4 linked regions of the Macaca fascicularis genome follow. The protein of the gene in region 1 purifies or fractionates together with the protein of each later gene. This does not show direct contact. Links are inferred from orthologs where the notes say so. Each region holds a gene or a part of one and is shown on either strand. Other genes may lie near its edges.

What was found.
Region 2: the proteins of ARPC1A (region 1) and ACTR3 purify together in Homo sapiens (affinity purification with mass spectrometry; 7 studies listed by BioGRID and IntAct, counting the BioPlex papers as one, with this or other methods). This does not show direct contact. The link is inferred for Macaca fascicularis from reciprocal best matches to the Homo sapiens genes ARPC1A and ACTR3.
Region 3: the proteins of ARPC1A (region 1) and ARPC4 fractionate together in Homo sapiens (co-fractionation; 7 studies listed by BioGRID and IntAct, with this or other methods). This does not show direct contact. The link is inferred for Macaca fascicularis from reciprocal best matches to the Homo sapiens genes ARPC1A and ARPC4.
Region 4: the proteins of ARPC1A (region 1) and ARPC3 purify together in Homo sapiens (affinity purification with mass spectrometry; 8 studies listed by BioGRID and IntAct, counting the BioPlex papers as one, with this or other methods). This does not show direct contact. The link is inferred for Macaca fascicularis from reciprocal best matches to the Homo sapiens genes ARPC1A and ARPC3.

The regions. Positions count from the first base shown.
Region 1 is NC_088377.1:47,933,406-47,936,915, reverse strand, and holds part of ARPC1A (actin-related protein 2/3 complex subunit 1A), read right to left. Parts: intron 2,308-3,510; coding exon 2,085-2,307; intron 1-2,084. UniProt on the Homo sapiens protein: Probably functions as a component of the Arp2/3 complex which is involved in regulation of actin polymerization and together with an activating nucleation-promoting factor (NPF) mediates the formation of branched actin networks.
Region 2 is NC_088386.1:17,949,137-17,953,098, reverse strand, and holds the start of ACTR3 (actin-related protein 3), read left to right. Parts: upstream 1-1,156; 5' UTR 1,157-1,463; coding exon 1,464-1,507; intron 1,508-2,076; exon of another isoform or gene 2,077-2,200; intron 2,201-3,962. UniProt on the Homo sapiens protein: ATP-binding component of the Arp2/3 complex, a multiprotein complex that mediates actin polymerization upon stimulation by nucleation-promoting factor (NPF).
Region 3 is NC_088376.1:148,054,165-148,058,420, reverse strand, and holds the start of ARPC4 (actin-related protein 2/3 complex subunit 4), read right to left. Parts: upstream 2,807-4,256; 5' UTR 2,798-2,806; coding exon 2,630-2,797; coding exon of another isoform or gene 2,623-2,629; intron 1-2,622. UniProt on the Homo sapiens protein: Actin-binding component of the Arp2/3 complex, a multiprotein complex that mediates actin polymerization upon stimulation by nucleation-promoting factor (NPF).
Region 4 is NC_088385.1:117,322,138-117,326,434, reverse strand, and holds the start of ARPC3 (actin-related protein 2/3 complex subunit 3), read left to right. Parts: upstream 1-1,491; 5' UTR 1,492-1,588; coding exon 1,589-1,594; intron 1,595-4,297. UniProt on the Homo sapiens protein: Component of the Arp2/3 complex, a multiprotein complex that mediates actin polymerization upon stimulation by nucleation-promoting factor (NPF).

The DNA of each region.
Region 1 (3,510 bases):
TCCTGGCTAACATGGTGAAACCCCGTCTCTATTAAAAATACAAAAAACTAGCCGGGCGAGGTGGCGGGCGCCTGTAGTCCCAGCCACTCGGGAGGCTGAGGCAGGAGAATGGCGTGAACCCGGGAGGCGGAGCTTGCAGTGAGCTGAGACCCGGCCACTGCACTCCAGCCTGGGCGACAGAGCGAGACTCCGTCTCAAAAAAAAAAAAAAAAAAAAAAAAAAAAAAAAAAAAAAAAGAAATTTGTAAGATTGCAAGGAGTACCAGCTGACATAAAGTTTAGCCTTGAAGGAATATTAATGAACTTAGTTTCCTATCCCATTACAATGAAACTTCTAAATCGTTTCTAGCAGGTAACATTTTGTTGGCCTTGATTTATACACATTTGAAAGAAAAACATGTTTCAAATTCATAACTCAATTTTTTTTTTTTTGAGACGGAGTTTCACTCTTGATGCCCAGGCTAGAGTGCAATGGCACAATCTCAGCTCACCACAACCTCCGCTTCCTGGGTTCAAGAGATTCTCCTGCCTCAGCCTCCCAGGTAGCTGGGATTACAGGCATGCACCACCACACCCCGCTAATTTTTCTGTATTTTTAGTAGAGACGGGATTTCTCCATGTTGGTCAGGCTGGTCTCAAACTCCTGACCTCAGGTGATCCACCCACCTTGGCCTCCCAAAGGGCTGGGGTTACACGCGTAAGCCACTATGCCCGGCCCATAACTCAATTTTACTGCAAGTTCCCAATCTCTTTTCGAAGAATAAAATTTCCGAAGTTTTACTAAATTACAAAGGTAACATGATAATCCCCTCCTTTCAGTTTCAGCAGAATACAAATAACAAAACGGCTACAAAGAGTCATGTATACTCTGCTATTTTTAGTAGAAACACAAACACTGCCAGTATAGTACTAAATGACAACTTTATGTTGAAGGATATTTACCAGTCATGCTGAACACACGCCAGGTAGAATACAATTTTTTTTTTTTTTTTTTGAGATGGAGTCTCACTGGGTCGCCCAGGCTGGAGTGCCCAATGGCATGATCTTGGCTCGCTGAAACCTCTGCCTCCTGAGTTCAAATGATTCTCCTGCCTCAGCCTCCCGAGTAGTTGGGATTATAGGCGCCTGCCACTGTGCCCGGCTAATTTTTGTATTTTTAGTAGAGATGGGGTTTCGCCATCTTGGCCAGGGTGGAGAATAATTGTTTTCTTATCAAAATAAACAGGAAGGAGTAGTTAAAATAAGTTTTGGTCATAAAGTCAACCTCTATGTTTTGACTGGGTCAGCTACGAGTGATTTATTTAAAAAATGTACAATAGCCTGATTAGACTTCTACGATTCTGGTGAGTTTTCACTTCAATAGTTTAAACAAGTAAAATATTACATCAAGACACAGAGTTGTTTGGCAAATAAGCTTTAAAGAAAGGAGAACACTGGCTGGGCGTGGTAGTTCACACCTGTAATCCCAGCACTTTGGGAGGCCAAGGGGGTGGATCACAAGGTCAGGAGTTCAAGACCAGCCTGGCCAAGATGGTGAAACCTCATCTCTACTAAAACTACAAAAATTAGCCGGGCGTGATGGCAGGTGACTGTAATCCCAGCTACTCGGGAGGCTGAGGCAGGAGAATTGCTTGGACCACGAGGGGTGGAGGTTGCAGTGAGCCAAGATCGTGCCACTGCACTCCATCTGGCCTGGGCAACAGAGTGAGACTCTGTCTCAAAAAAAAAAAAAAAAAAAAAAAAAAGAACATTGTTATCTGTAGGAATCCTACATAGATATCGTGTGAAAAAAAAAATTCCTCAGGGAACAGAGACTCTTTCAAGGTTATTATTTGTATATGAGAGTAAGAAAACAGCAATATGTGCAGTATAGAGTGAGAACAGAACATGGACACAATAGCTCTATGTTAATATAAAAAACATGCGATTTAACTTAACATGCACATCAGAAGGGAAAATGCTCAGACAGCATCAAGAATTTCAGAGAAAAAAACCACACAACTCCAGATGAGAAAAAACCAGAGTTTTTTCAGTGCAAATGTAAATTCTATAGAGAGGGATAGAAAAAGTTCAGATGTCACTCACCAGTCATTTTCAGACTCAAAGTAACAAACAGAAATGAGTCGTGCTCCACTTCCCACAGCAAATTTGTTCTCTAGGGGGGACCACTTCACAAAAGTAGCTGCGCGATTAATTCTCAGGATCACCAGGGTTGGCTTCCAGACACCATCTTTCTGACTCCAGACATAGGCATTGCGGTCTGCTCCACAAGTGACGATGCGATCGCTCTTGGGAGCCCAGTCAATACCTGCAAGTGAGATGTGGGTCACCTGCTTTGCCCAGTCAATGACAAACAACTGCAGCACAGGCAGGTGGGTGGCACTGGCATGCCAGGATGAGATGTGGTCTTGGGACCTTCCTCCCAGGCACATCCTTCCCCCCATCTATGTCCTGATCACTGCCTCAAGGAAAGGCAAGGATGCTTCTCTGCAAAGCATCTGGGACTCAGGATTATCTATGAGGTCATGTAGAACAGAGCTGTTTTATAATTACAGACTTTACAAAACTAAACGGGGGCATTCTTTCGACCCAGAAAATTCACACATTTCTAAGACTTCTAAAGATCTCAAGATTCATTACTTTTTTCTTTCTTCTTTATTGGATTTTTGTGTGTGAAAATAACTGTATTCATTCATTAACAGACCTCATTCCATGATATTAACCAACAGTCTGCTACATGGCATTCAACTAAAACAGCATACAGGGTAAATAAAAATAATCTTTAGTGTAAAGGAGGAAATATATATTGTGATTCATCATATATTTTTCTGAAAGTTGCTGTCAGTTGAACCATACTGAAAACCTTTTCTACATGATGCAGGTTCTGTAAAATTCTTGATTATCTTTGCATCTAAACCAGGAAGATACCTAAATGTGTATCTGAATTTAAGGTTTACTTTTCTTATTTGATGAGACTTTATCTGGTACCTCTGTGAAGAATCCCAAAGTCAAGGTCAGTTTCTTATATACTAAGAGCAAAATTTACCATGACTCATTTAACATTTACTAATGAGGTATTTTCTTTGCTTTTGTTTTTGTTTTTTGAGATGGAGTTTTGCTCTTGTAGCCTAGGCTGGAGTACAATGGCGTGATCTCAGCTCACTGCAACCTCAACCTCCCAGGTTCAAGTGATTCTCCTGCCTCAGCCTCCCGAGTAGCTGGGATTACAGGTGGATGCCACCACACTCAGCTAATTTTTGTGTTTTTAGTAGAGACGGGGTTTCACCATATTGACCAGGCTGATCTCGAACTCCTGACTTTAGGCAATCTGCCCGCCTTGGCCTCCCAAATTGCTGGGATTACAGGCGTGAGCCACTGCACTTGGCCTTGATGAGTTATTTTCTAGAAATATAATTTCACATTAAAAAGTACAGAAATATTACTAATAAATATTTATTACAGATCTCTCTCTAAAAATTAATACTTAGCATTCTTGACATGTATATGGAAA
Region 2 (3,962 bases), on another chromosome or scaffold:
ATTTTTATTTTAGCTTCACATTAGCAAACTCAGAATGGTTTATTGTTAAGATCAGCCTGGTAGAGAGGAAAGCTATTAACCTTCTAGGGTCCTAAAGTGGAACTAGGAACTGATTAGATACGCAGATTTTCAGGCATTATTTCAGACAGCCCAGTCAGAGAATTCTGGGGGTGTGGCCCAGCAATCTGTTTTAACAAACCTTTCGGGTGATTCTGACACACACTAAAGTTTGAAAGGTTTCTTTAAGGCTTTCCAGTTTTCTTTTCTTTTTTTGGAGGGATGGTGGTGGGGGGGGGGTCTCCCTATGTGCCCAGACTGATCTCGAACTCCTAGCCTCAAGCTATCCTCTCCTCCCACCTCGGCCTTCCAAAGCATTGAAATTACAGGCCTGACCCACTGCGGCCCGCCTCCGTCTTTAACTTAAAAAAAATTTTGTTGGGGGGGGCTAAATCCCTTCTATTATCCCGCTAGTAGAATCTTACTACTCCTGAGGGTAATCTTTGTCATAGTCCAAAAGCCTTGAATAAAGGCTGTTTGTAGTTTTGCAGAATATATTCCTGGGCGGTTTGCCTTCCTCAGGAGCTCAGGCCTTGGGAGGTGGGGGTTGGGGGGCAGGGCTACATTCTGAAGTCCTGTAACAACGCACAAGTACAACTGAATAAAACTCGGAACAAAGGCATCAGGGCCACGGTGCAAGCCTTTGTTCATCCGTTCCCCGACTGCTCACCCTGTGTGATATCTCTCTTTTCCACCCAGAAAAGCAGCCACTCAAGTTTTAAGAATGGATGCATGCCGCGGACGTTTTCGATTAGGCCGTTTTCTCCCAGGCACTGGAGGATATTCGTGGCTGCAGGAGGCGCTTCCACTCTTTCCTCAACCTAGCGGAGAAGTAACTGAAACTAACCCAAGGGCTACCACCGAAAAGCCCCTTCCAGCTTCAGAAGCAGAACTAGAAGCTCGGCTAGACTTCTCCGTCTCTACCCTCCTGGAAAACCCGCTGTGGATTTCACTAACTTCAGGATCGGAGCCCCGGCAGGCGAACGCACCTTATTGCGCATGCTCGCTAGCCCCTCCCGCTCGGAGCGGAAGGGGGAGTGCTCGGGGCCTGGGCCCGGCCTGGCCGGGGCGTCGGCACCGGCGGCCATCTTGGCTTCCCGGGGAAAGGCGGCGTGAGGGGAAGAAGTTGTAGGGTGGGGGCAGGAGTGGGGAGGAGGGAAGAGAGAGGGGGAGGAGGCCGCGGCGGGGCAGGGCGGGGACTGCCTGCCTGCTTGGGTTGCGGAAGTGATAGCCGCTGACCGAGCCTGCTGCTTTCTTGCTACTGCTTCGGCTTCCCGGCTACCCCCCGGACGGTGAAGGCGGCCCGGCTGTGGATGGTCAGATAGCGCCTGTCTCCCGCCGCCAATCTCTGGCCCCTAGCAGCACGGAGCAGACGGCGGCAGCAGCAGCAGCAGGCGAGGAGGAAGATGGCGGGACGGCTGCCGGCCTGTGTGGTGGACTGTGGCACGGGGTAAGGGGGCTTACGGGCGGGGGTGGGGAAACTGAGGCGGAGGAAGGAAAATGGCGGGGGAGGGAGGAGGCCGGGAAATGAATGGTGCGGCGAGGTGCTGCCGCCGGCTGTCAGTCCTAGACTCGCCGGCCAGCGAGGGGTGGGGCCCGGAGCCAGGGCCTCGCCGGTCCCCTCGTTTCTCCCTCCTAGGACTGGGGCGGGGGCGCGGGCCCCAGATTCAACCCCCAACCCTCCCTGCAGCTTCCTCCGCGCGACCCCTCCCGGCCCTTCCCCCACTGCGGTGGGCAGTGCCGCCCAGAGAGTGCTAGGGACGGTCGTCTTAGGGGTGGTCCCCGGGCCCGACCCATCCGGCTTTGCTTTCCCTCCGTGTCCCTTTTTGCCAGTCGGTGTGGGGACCCAGGGGCCGAGCTCGGGGACTGGCCTGGTAGAGGAGCTAGAAAAGAGAAGCGCTCCTGGTAGGTTTTGCAAGATCGCTGTGACAACATTCTGCCCAGGGTGTGGGTGGGGAAAGGGAAGAATCGGACTCTGAAAATGGGAACCTACAGTGGGGTTTTCATTTGACCACCCACCTTCTCCTTTCGACTCCCGGTCATTGCCATCTCCCTCTGCGTTTCAACCGGTGAACCGAGTCACATTTTAATTCGAGGGAGAAAGATGTCATGTGTTACTTCTGTAGCCTCAAAAAAGTCCCCCAGTGAGCAAGCGCGCTGTAACTTCCTTAGTTTTGTCAAAGCCGCTTCCTGCTTTCAGTCTTTTATACCCTTATAAGGTAGTTTTTAGTTTCCAACCTGAACACATCTTATTAGAACTTTTAAAATTAAGCAGATTTTAAAGAGACTGAATTACAGGTGCTTGGTATCCATTTATATGACTTAAAAAATGTGCTTATGTTTCATGGAGAGGGGAGAAAGGAAGCACCCTGGGAAATAAACTAATTTAAGTTGTATTCGTTCATTCTGTAAAGGTATCTTGAAGGAAGCAGAAAGGTATAGAGGTATATAGGAATGTGTTTAAGTTGCAAGTAGTTACTCCTAGATCTGTAGGGTAGTTTGCTAAAATGTAGAATGGCTTAAAAGTGATCTTTCATTTTGTATTAATAGACATTTTAGAGAGTTGTACCACACTCATAACTACATAGAGAATAGACTACTCTTATTTTAATGTAGAATCACTGCTTCACGATGACTTATAGGAAAGGGTTCTTTTTTTCTGTTCTAATTACATCTCTCCAATTCCCAAAACACTCCCAATTTTTTTTTTTTTTTGAGGGGGAAGGCAGTGAGAGGCTTGTTTTTTTATTAATTATAATTATTAATTTCATTATTGTTACTTAAAAGATTGTGTGTCCTTCACTCTTTATGTGAAATTTCTTTAATCTTCATTCTCATAACTAGCTAGTGTGGCAGTTTCTAAAATCCCAATTAGGTAGAGAGAAACAACCAACTTCTTAATATTCTCCCTAGGAAAGCACTAGCCTAGATTAGCCTTGGAACTTCCATGTATTTTATTGATGAACACTTTATTATAAAGTTTTTCATGAACACTTTATTATAAAGTTTTTTCTTAATTGGTTCTCATTTCTCGGAACCAATAGTTTTTTTTATTTCCCCCTTCTTAGTCTAATTGATGAGTAGTTTTATGTCTAAGTTCAGTTTTAAAATTAGATTTGGCCTGAGTCAGTAGGATAGAACTTTTTAAATGTGTTTTGTTAAAGTGACGAATATTGCTACATAATTAATGCTTTAGAAATTACTGAGTTGTCAAAAAAATAGTGTAAATAACTGTGGCCCTAAGAAATAATATGGTAACATCTCAAGTAGTATGTTACTTTTCTAATCTCCATTTTTCCCTCTTTGAAATAGTTTCGAATTAGTATACAAGATGTCTCATTGAGGTCATCTGTCCTTAAGTGACCTCCTTTCCTAAAGGGCAACCTTGAATTTAAAACATGCTGAATGACCAGTAGGATCGGGGAGAGGGGTTCAATTTAACCTAGAGTATTTCTGTTTTAAAATTACAATTATTACAATAGTATATTTTTAAGTTATTACACTGGTTTCTCTGATAAGGAGAGGTTGTTAACTGCACTTTGATGGTTTGAATGGAACTGATTAGGAGTCCCCTTGCCACCTCCCTCTCTTTACCATTTGTCACAATCTGAAATTCCCCCTTTAGAGTTTCAGTTATTTTGGTCCTCAAAAGGCTTTTTGGTCTTGCAGGTTGCCAGTGGTGCCTCCTGGGAAGTTACACTTTCAGCTTTATTAGCACATGGAGGATAAGTCCTTGAGGTCGAGGACCCTGAGATAAGCATCTCTAAGTATGGCCTTAACAGGGAGCTTTTACATTTCAAAATTCTGTGGGCCCCGAATGCAAATTGTGCACCTATAATTTGTCTATTTCTTTATGCTTTAGAGAATGCATTCAGTTCTTAGGTCTCTAAATTACAATTACCCAC
Region 3 (4,256 bases), on another chromosome or scaffold:
CCTCCTTCATGCCTTTGTAAAGTGATTTCTCCTTTATTAGGCTGTAAACCTCGTGGTCAACAGACCATATTTATTTTACTCACAGCTATATAGCCTCCAACCTAGCTCAGTACGTAACATGTAGAGTGTCTTACTCATTTCCTGTAGAATAAATGAGCAAAAGAAATAATTAAGGTTAGAGTAACACAAAAGGACAGCAAGAGTTCCAGAGTAGTAATGAGTACAATGTTTCTGTATATGAGAAGCATTTTAGATTCACTAAATGAGGCTGCAGTGGTAGACTGAGGTCAGATCATGGGGAATCTTGAATGCCAGACCAAGTTTAGCTTTTCTCTTAAGGGGGTAAGGAACTACTGGGGCTTTCTGAGGAGGAAGTTCATGACTGCAGCTGCATGGTAGCTCTGTGAAGAATGATTTGGAGAGGGAAGTGAGACATACAGCAGACTGTGTCACCAGCAAAGAGTATCACAAGTGTTGGACTGACATTAGATGGAGTGGATAACGGAACTGAAAAACAACTTCCCAGGGGCTTATGCCTGTAATCCCAGCACTTTGGGAGGCCGAGGTGGGTGGATCACCTGAGGTCAGCAGTTCAAGACCAGCTTGGCTAACATGGCAAAACCCTGTCTCTACTAAAAATACAAAAAAATTAGCCACGACGGGTGCCTGTAATCTCAGCTACTTGGGAGGCTGAAGCAGGAGAACTGCTTGAACCCAGGAGACTGAGGTTGCAGTGAGCCGAGATCTGGCCACTGCACTCCAGCCTGGGCGACAGGGAGAGACTGTGTCTTTAAAAAAAAAAAAGAAAAAAACAACTTCCAACGAACTATGGTCCGGTCATTCAATTAAATACTACTTAGCAATAAAAAAGAGTAACTATTGATACACACAACATGGTTGACTCTCACATGTACTATGGTAAGAAGGTACATTTAAAAGCCTGCATACTAAAGCATTCCATTCACATGACAATCTGAAAAAGGCAAAACTATAGGGGTTAAAAAAATCAGTGGTTGTCGGGGGTGGGAAGGAGGAAAGGTGTGATTACAAAAGGGCTCGAGGGAATTTTTTGGGGTGATGGAAATATTCTGTATTTTGGTTGTAGTAGTGGTTACATAACTTGACTTTTTTTTTTTTAAGACACAGGATCTTGCTATATTGTCCAGGCTACAGTGCAGTGGCTATTCACAGGCGTGATCACAGGGTACTACAGCCTCGAACTTCTGGGCTCAAGTGATCCTCCTGCCTAAGCCTCCTGAGCAGATGGTACTACAGGTGCATGCCACCATACCCAGCAAGTTTTTGTCAACACTTTTTTTTTTTTGAGATGGAGTCTCGCTCTGTCGCTGGAGCGACAGGCTGGAGTGCAGTGGCACGATCTCGGCTCACCGCAAGCTCTGCCTCCTGGGTTCACGCCGTTCTCCTGCCCCTGCCCCTGCCTCCCGAGAAGGTGGGACTACAGGCGTCCACCACCACCCTCCCGGCTAATTTTCTGCATTTTTAGTAGAGAAGGGGTTTCACCGTGTTAGCCAGGATGGTCTGGATGGCCTGACCTCGTGATCCGCCCACCTCGACCTCCCAAAGTGCTGGGATTACAAGCGCGAGCCACCGCGCCCGGCCTTTGGCAATAGTTATAGACAGTAAACCTAAAAAAGGTGACTGGCTCCGTGACGCCTGTCCTTTCATGAATAAAACAGACGTAGTCTCATACAATACCTCAAAAAACTTAAATTTTTAAAAATCAAGACGCATGTGCTCCATTAGAAAAAAAAAATCCAGATTTCTAGCAGGGATACGAGTTCACAAAGTTTGCCAGGATAGGGAACTCAGGAGGAAGAGCAAATTTAGAATGGAAGATGAGTTTTGAACTAGAGGTGTAATTTCAAGGTCTCTTCAAGATACCCAGGCAAACCTTCAAAGAGAGCTGAGAAGCCAGATTAGGAGTCATCAGAGTGAAGAAAGTCATCGAAGCCAGCAGACTAGATCGGTATCACCAGGGAAGGTGTGACGATGAGGGAGGTGGTCATCCAAAGTCACAACTCCCAAGAATACCCACATGTATGAAAAAGGGAGGACTTTCAGGAAGGGAGGGATGAGCAGTATCACAGCTAACAAACACTAGGGCTGACACAGTTCAGTTCTGACCAGGAGGGGCCTGAATGGAAGCAACACGAGAGATCCTCCAGTGGGGTGGAAGCAGGGCTGGAGGTACCAAGAGTGGGATAAGGAAGTGTGGCCGCCTGCCTTAAGCAACTGTAGGGTCAGGAAGGCAGAAGACAAAGGGCGTATTTAGTGAAGCTCTACTGTGGACAGGCAGATGGACCCGCTACATGCCTCAGCGGCCCTTCGACGGGCTAAGAGGCCGACTACGTACCCTCGAAACGCTCCAAAGAGCCTAGGAAGCCCCACTTCCAGCTTCCTCCAGGGCTCAGTAAAAGCCCCTACCTGCTTGGAAGGCTGATCACGAAGCCGCAAGGCCCGCTTCAAACCAGGGAGTACCCCTACTCGCCCCTTCCTCACCTCGGGCCCCCGCCCTCTTTCTCCCACCCTCATGGTGTCCCCACAACCCCCGGGCATCCCTCAGCCCCGCGCCCCTGCGGCAAAGCCACATCTCCCACCGACCCACTGCCCTGAGGCTGAACAGCTGGGGGTCCCTGGCCGGGGGCCCGGCTCTCTCACCATCGCGGGCGCTGGCTGGGCCGGAAAGCGGAAGTACGGAAGTGGCCAGCCCCGCGATGCCTGCCCTTTCGCGAGAAGCGCAGCCTCTGTCTCCGCCCGGACTTCCGGATGGTACCATCTATGCTCTGAGCGGGATAGGGAGCCCTTGCGAACGCTTGGCCCTTCCGGAAGTTTTCCACCTAGGGCTGTCTCGGTATCTTTAAACTCTTGCACTCGAGTCACTACTTAAGCTTCTCCAGGAATGGGAGCAGCTCCCCTTTGTGCCTTCGGCCTTCTTGTTACCTTTGCCACAGCCTCCCCCCAGGTATGCAATGGTACAGCCCAGCTTCAGATTGGGCACCAAATTAGGACAAGCTGAAGCGGAGGAGCCCTTCGTTTCTTCCGGTTCTGTGCCCCCATCCTTTCTCTCGCCCCTCCTACCCGCAGCTCCTGGGGCTCAGCGGCGCTAACTGCAGCGCCGAGATCTCCGCCGCCAAGCCCCGCCTCCCGCCTCCCGCCCCGGGCTATGCCCTGGGGCGCGCCTGAGGCCAACCACCCGCACCCCACCTCTAGCGGGCTTGCTCGAGGCCCACCTTCTCCCCACCCCCGGCAAACTTCAGTAGGCTCGCCCTCGCTGACTCCCCGCCCCCGCGTCAACTGCAAGGGGCCCGCCCATAGCCAGTTCCGGGGCGGTTGCTCCCGTCGACCGGAACTCCCCGCCCCCTCCCGCGGCCCTGGGGCCGTAGGAGGCCGCAGTGAGGAGGTAGAGGGGGCGGGGGTCGCGCTAGGGTGTCCCTAGAGAACGAGGACTCTGAAGGCGGGACATTTGGACGACCCCCGGGCGGGGCCAGCCATTAAATAGTCCCATTTCTGTGCCAGACACTGAACTGGGCTCTTGACGGGCATCATCTCTTAATCCTCAGAACATCCCAGGGAGGTAGGTACCGTTGTTATCCCCATTTTTCAGATTCAGACTTTTAATGGGGAAACAGACCGAGACTTCTTTTGTTCCCATTTTACAGATGGAAAAACTGAGACTCAAAAAGGTTAAACAACATGTTCAGGGGCACATAAGTAGAGAATGGTAAAGCCTGGACTTGAACCCGGGTCTGTCTGGCTTACCAGCCCACGTTCTAAACCACTATTAGTGACTAGAGAAGGGAGAAAGGTGGAGTAGGATAAGAAAAGAGGCCAAGAGTCCCAGAGAACATGGTAAGAATGGGGTGCTTGGAACTCAAAGTCTTAGCAGAACCCAAGAGAAATAGAAGGGAAGGAAAGAGCATCAGAAAGGCAAGGCAATGCATAGTAATATAGCATGGTGATCAGGGGTGCAGACTCAATATAGCGGGGTTCAAATTGCATCTTGGAAGCATAGGCACATACCCACCCTTACAGAGTCTCAGTTTCTTTCTCTGTAAAGAGATCACAACGGTCCTTGTTCATGGTGCTGAGTGAGAAATTAAGTGAGATAAGCTGATAAAGTGCTTTGCGCCTAGCTTGGTACACAGTTAAGTGCCCTGTGAGTAGGAACTGTGCCATCAATTTTGTCAGTAAGGGACTGAAGCCTGGCTTGCTTGAGACTGTCCCTGGAGGTAAGA
Region 4 (4,297 bases), on another chromosome or scaffold:
TCCTCCCTGGTTTAGCTTCTAGAGAGTATGGTATGTGCCTGTGGAGAAAAAGTGAAGGACCCAATTCCAGTGCCTTCCCCACTGGACACTAGGGTTTCAAAGATGAATCTGACAATTCCAGTCCTCGAGGATTTCACTGTCTCATAGGCAGGGCTGACATGATTCTTTACACAAATTTACTGAAGTTCTATGGATGCCAGGTACTGGGGATAGAACAGGGACTCAGTGCAGGCAGCGCTTTGCTCACGTGGGGCTGTCATGCTGGGCTGTGAGACTGAACCTCGGAGAGAGGATGGAAAGAACAGAAAGCAGAAAAGAAATGGAGAGTGACTATGGGGCTACTTTGGGCTCTTTGTCAAAAAAGACCTTGCCTAAAAGGTGCTATTTGCCCAGTCACCTGAATGCGAAATCAGATGTGGGAACATGGGGCTCTATTCCAGGCTGCGAACTGGCAGAAGAAATGGCTCTCAGGTAGCAATGAACTTGACTTTTAACGTAAGTTTTCTAGTAATAAATAGGTTAAAAACTCCTGGGCTTTCGGTATGCTCCAAGCATGTAAGTTCTAAGCATTTTACATGTAATTCATTTCATCGTCACAAAATTATGAGGTAAATATTGTTACTACCATTTTCAGGTGAGGAACTGAAGTACAGAGGCAAGTTAACTTGCTCAAAATTATAGAGCTAGTATGTATTGAAGCTGCGATTCAGATTCCAGTGCCCTTCAGTTTCTCTATTTTTAGATGCAGTGCATTGGGTTCATTCATTTACTCAAATACTGATGTTTCCTACATACCATCACTGTTACAGGCGCCAGGGGACAAAACGGGCGAAGTGCTGTCTGGCATTTACAAGGATAGGGAGACAAGCACTAAGAGTAAACTAAATACAAGAATCATAAGAACTAAGGGAAAAAGCGGGAGAGAAGGATAAGGCATGGGGCTGGAGTCGGGTGAATTGAAAACAGAATGACCAGAGGCGGCTTCACAGGAAAGGTGTTTTGTTTGTTTGTTTAAGATAGAGTCACACTCTCACCCAAGCTAGAGTGCAGCGGCACGATCTTGGCTCACCGCAAACTCCGCCTCCCAGGTTCAAGCGATTATTCTGCCTCAGCCTCCCGAGTAGCTGGGATGCTACCACGCCCAGCTAATTTTTGTATTTTTAGTAGAGACGAGATTTCACCATCCAGGCTGATCTCGGACTCCTGACTTCAGGTAATCCACCCGCCTCGGCCTCCCAAAGTGCTGGGATTACAGGCATGAGCCACTATGCCCGGCCCTGAAAAGGTGAAATTTGAAAAAAACACAAAAGAGGTGATTGATCGAAGATTCTGGAACCTCAAGACCCATCTCCATTTTGCGCGCGCCTCACGCTGCGCCACTCTGAGGGCCCCTACCTAGCGCTCTGGCGCCCCCTTTCAGATCCGCGCGGCCGCTGCAACCAGAGGCGGAACTACAAAGCCGGAAGCTCACGTCATCACCCCGCCCCTTCCGTTTCGCTTCCGCCTACCCCGCCCGGGCTGCCAGACCGGAAGCGTTCTGCTCTACCTGGATTCTGCTCCTCTGGGTTGGAACCCGGGTGCTGCCAAGATGCCGGTGAGGGTTCGATCCATGGTGTGGGGAGACAGCGGGGATTGCGAAAAGCGGGGAGAAACCTTGTGTGTGCCGAGAGAAGCGGGCGGCGGAAGGCAGAGAGGAAGCGGGAGCCCGAGAAGGAGTGAGGCGAGGGGAGGGGACCGGTCGCTGAAGAATTGGGACAGCCCGCGGGTGCCAGTCGTGGGAGGCGGGGGCGCGGCAGGAGTGGGCCCGGGGTCCAGGGGTCCAGGGTGTGTGAGGAGGCCCTCTTCTCTCTCTCTCCGTCTACTCCTTCCGGCTCCGGCAGGGTTCCCAAAGCGTCACTACAGCGCGAAGCCAAGGGTTGCCCTTTTTATTTTTCATATTTCAAGTCCAGGGTCTAGCTTCTCCTTTTTCTGTGAGGCCCACTTCCTCCTCCGCCCCGGGGGGCAGGCTCCCTCTGCTGTTTGTCATTTGTCAGAACCCACTTCCCGGCAGCGGCGGCCACCCCGGAGCCACCTGGGTATAGGGCCCTCACAGACTCGGTCGGCGCCTGACTTCCAAAGATTTCCTTTTTCGTGTGCATCAGAGTGGGAGTAAAAATCTATGACGGTCTGGTTGTACTTAATTTCTGACAGGCAGTCTGTGGGCTAGATTTATCACCATCATGGTCTCCATTTTGCAGATTCGGGAAAAGGTGGTTCGGTTATTGTGTGATTGTTCACACTTTTTTTGTTTGTTTTTTGAGAGAGTCTCGTTCTGTGGTCCAGGCTGGAGTGCAGTGAGGCGATCTCGGCTCACTACAACCTCCGCCACCTTGGTTCAAGCAGTCCTCGTGCCTCAGCCTCCTGGGTAGCTGGGATTACAGGCGCGCGCCACCACACCCAGCTAATTTTTTGCATTTTAGTAGGGACGGGGGTTTCACCATGTTGGCTGGGCTGGGCTGGAACTCCAGACCTCAGGTGATCCGCCCCCTCGGCCTCCCAAAGTGTTGGGATTATAGACATGAGCCACCGCGCCCAGCCTGCTCACACATTATTTTTAACAAACGTTACCGAGCACCTACTGCCTGCCAGGCTCTATTTACAGCAGCAAATAAGTTCAACAAATCCCTAATCTTAAACAGTGTACGTTCAAATCGGGAGACGAGACAATAAAAGTGTAAACATAAAGGAGATACATACAGTAGTGTCAGGTAGTGACAAATGCTATAAAGAAGCTAGATGGATGGCCAGGCGCGGTGGCTCACGCCTGTAATCCCAGCACTTTGGGAGGCCTAGGCGGATGGATCACGAGGTCAGGAGTTCAAGACCAGCCTGGCCAACATGGTGAAACTCCATCTCTACTAAAAATAAAAAAATTAGCTGGGCGTAGTGGCGCGTGCCTGTAATCCCAGCTACTTGGGAGGCTGAGGCAGGAGAATCGCTTGAACCCAGGAGGTGGAGGTTGCAGTGAGCCAAGACTGTGCCACTGCACTCCAGCCTGGCCACAGAGTGAGACTCTGACCCCCCCACTCCAAAAAAAAGAAACTAGATAGGTAACAAGACAGTTTGGTGAAAGGGAAGGCAGAGGGTACTTTAGATAAAGTATACTTGTGATGAAAAGGAGCAAGCCATAGTTGCAAATACATATATAGAGAGATATATATAGATAGATAGATTTTTTTTTTTTTTTTTTTTTTGAGACAGGGTTACACCCCGTCTCTGAGACTGCAGTGCAGTGACACAAACTTGGCTCAGGTGATCCTCCCACCTCAGCCTCCTGAGCAGCTGGGACTACAGGTGTACGTCGCCACGCCCAGCTAAGTTTTTCTATTTTCAGTAGAGACAGGGTCTCACCATGTTGCCCAGGCTGGTCTCAAACTTCTGGGCTCAAGCAGTCCTCCTGCCTCGACCTCCCTGAGTGTTGGGATTACAGGCGTGAGCCACCTCATTCAGCCTCACAAATACATATTTTATGAATTCCGTAATTACCATTTGACTCCTGAGCTCTGGGGTACACACTTTATAAATTATCCCATCTAATCCTCATAATGACCCTGTGAAGTAGGTACCATGATTCCTATTTTACAGAAGAGGAAACGGAACCTCAGAGAAGTTAATTTGGACAAAGTTGCCTACTAATGGTAAAACCAGATTTTAAGCCAGGACTCTAGGCTGGGTACAGTGGCTTATGCCTGTAATCCCAACACTTTAGGAGGCCAAGATGGGAGGATCGCTTGAGCCCAGGGGTTTGAGACCAACCTGGGCAACATAATGAGACCCTGCCTCTACAAAAATAAGAATAAATTAACTGGATGTGGTAGTGCATCTCCTCCCAGCCTCTCAAGAGGCTGAGGTGGGAGGATCACCTGGAGCCAGGAGTTTGAGGCTGCAGTGAGCTGTGATCATGCCACTGTACTCCAGCCTGGGTGAGAGGAGACTCTGTCTCCAAAAAAAAAGGACTCTAAAGCCCTGTACTGGCTCCAGTTGCACATAGAGCACCCTGGATTCACCCTGGGTTGGTTGGTTGGTTGGTTGGTTGGTTGGTTTGAGATGGAGTCTCGCTCTGTACCAGGCTGGAGTGCAGTGGTGCGATCTCGGCTCACTGCAACCTCTGCCTCCTGTGTTCAGGTAATTCTCGTGCCTCAGCCTCCCAAGTAGCTGGGAATACAGGCATGTGCTACCACACCCGGCTAATTTTTGTATTTTTAGTAGAGATGGGGTTTCACCATGTTGGTCTGGATGGTCTCTATCTTTTGGCCTT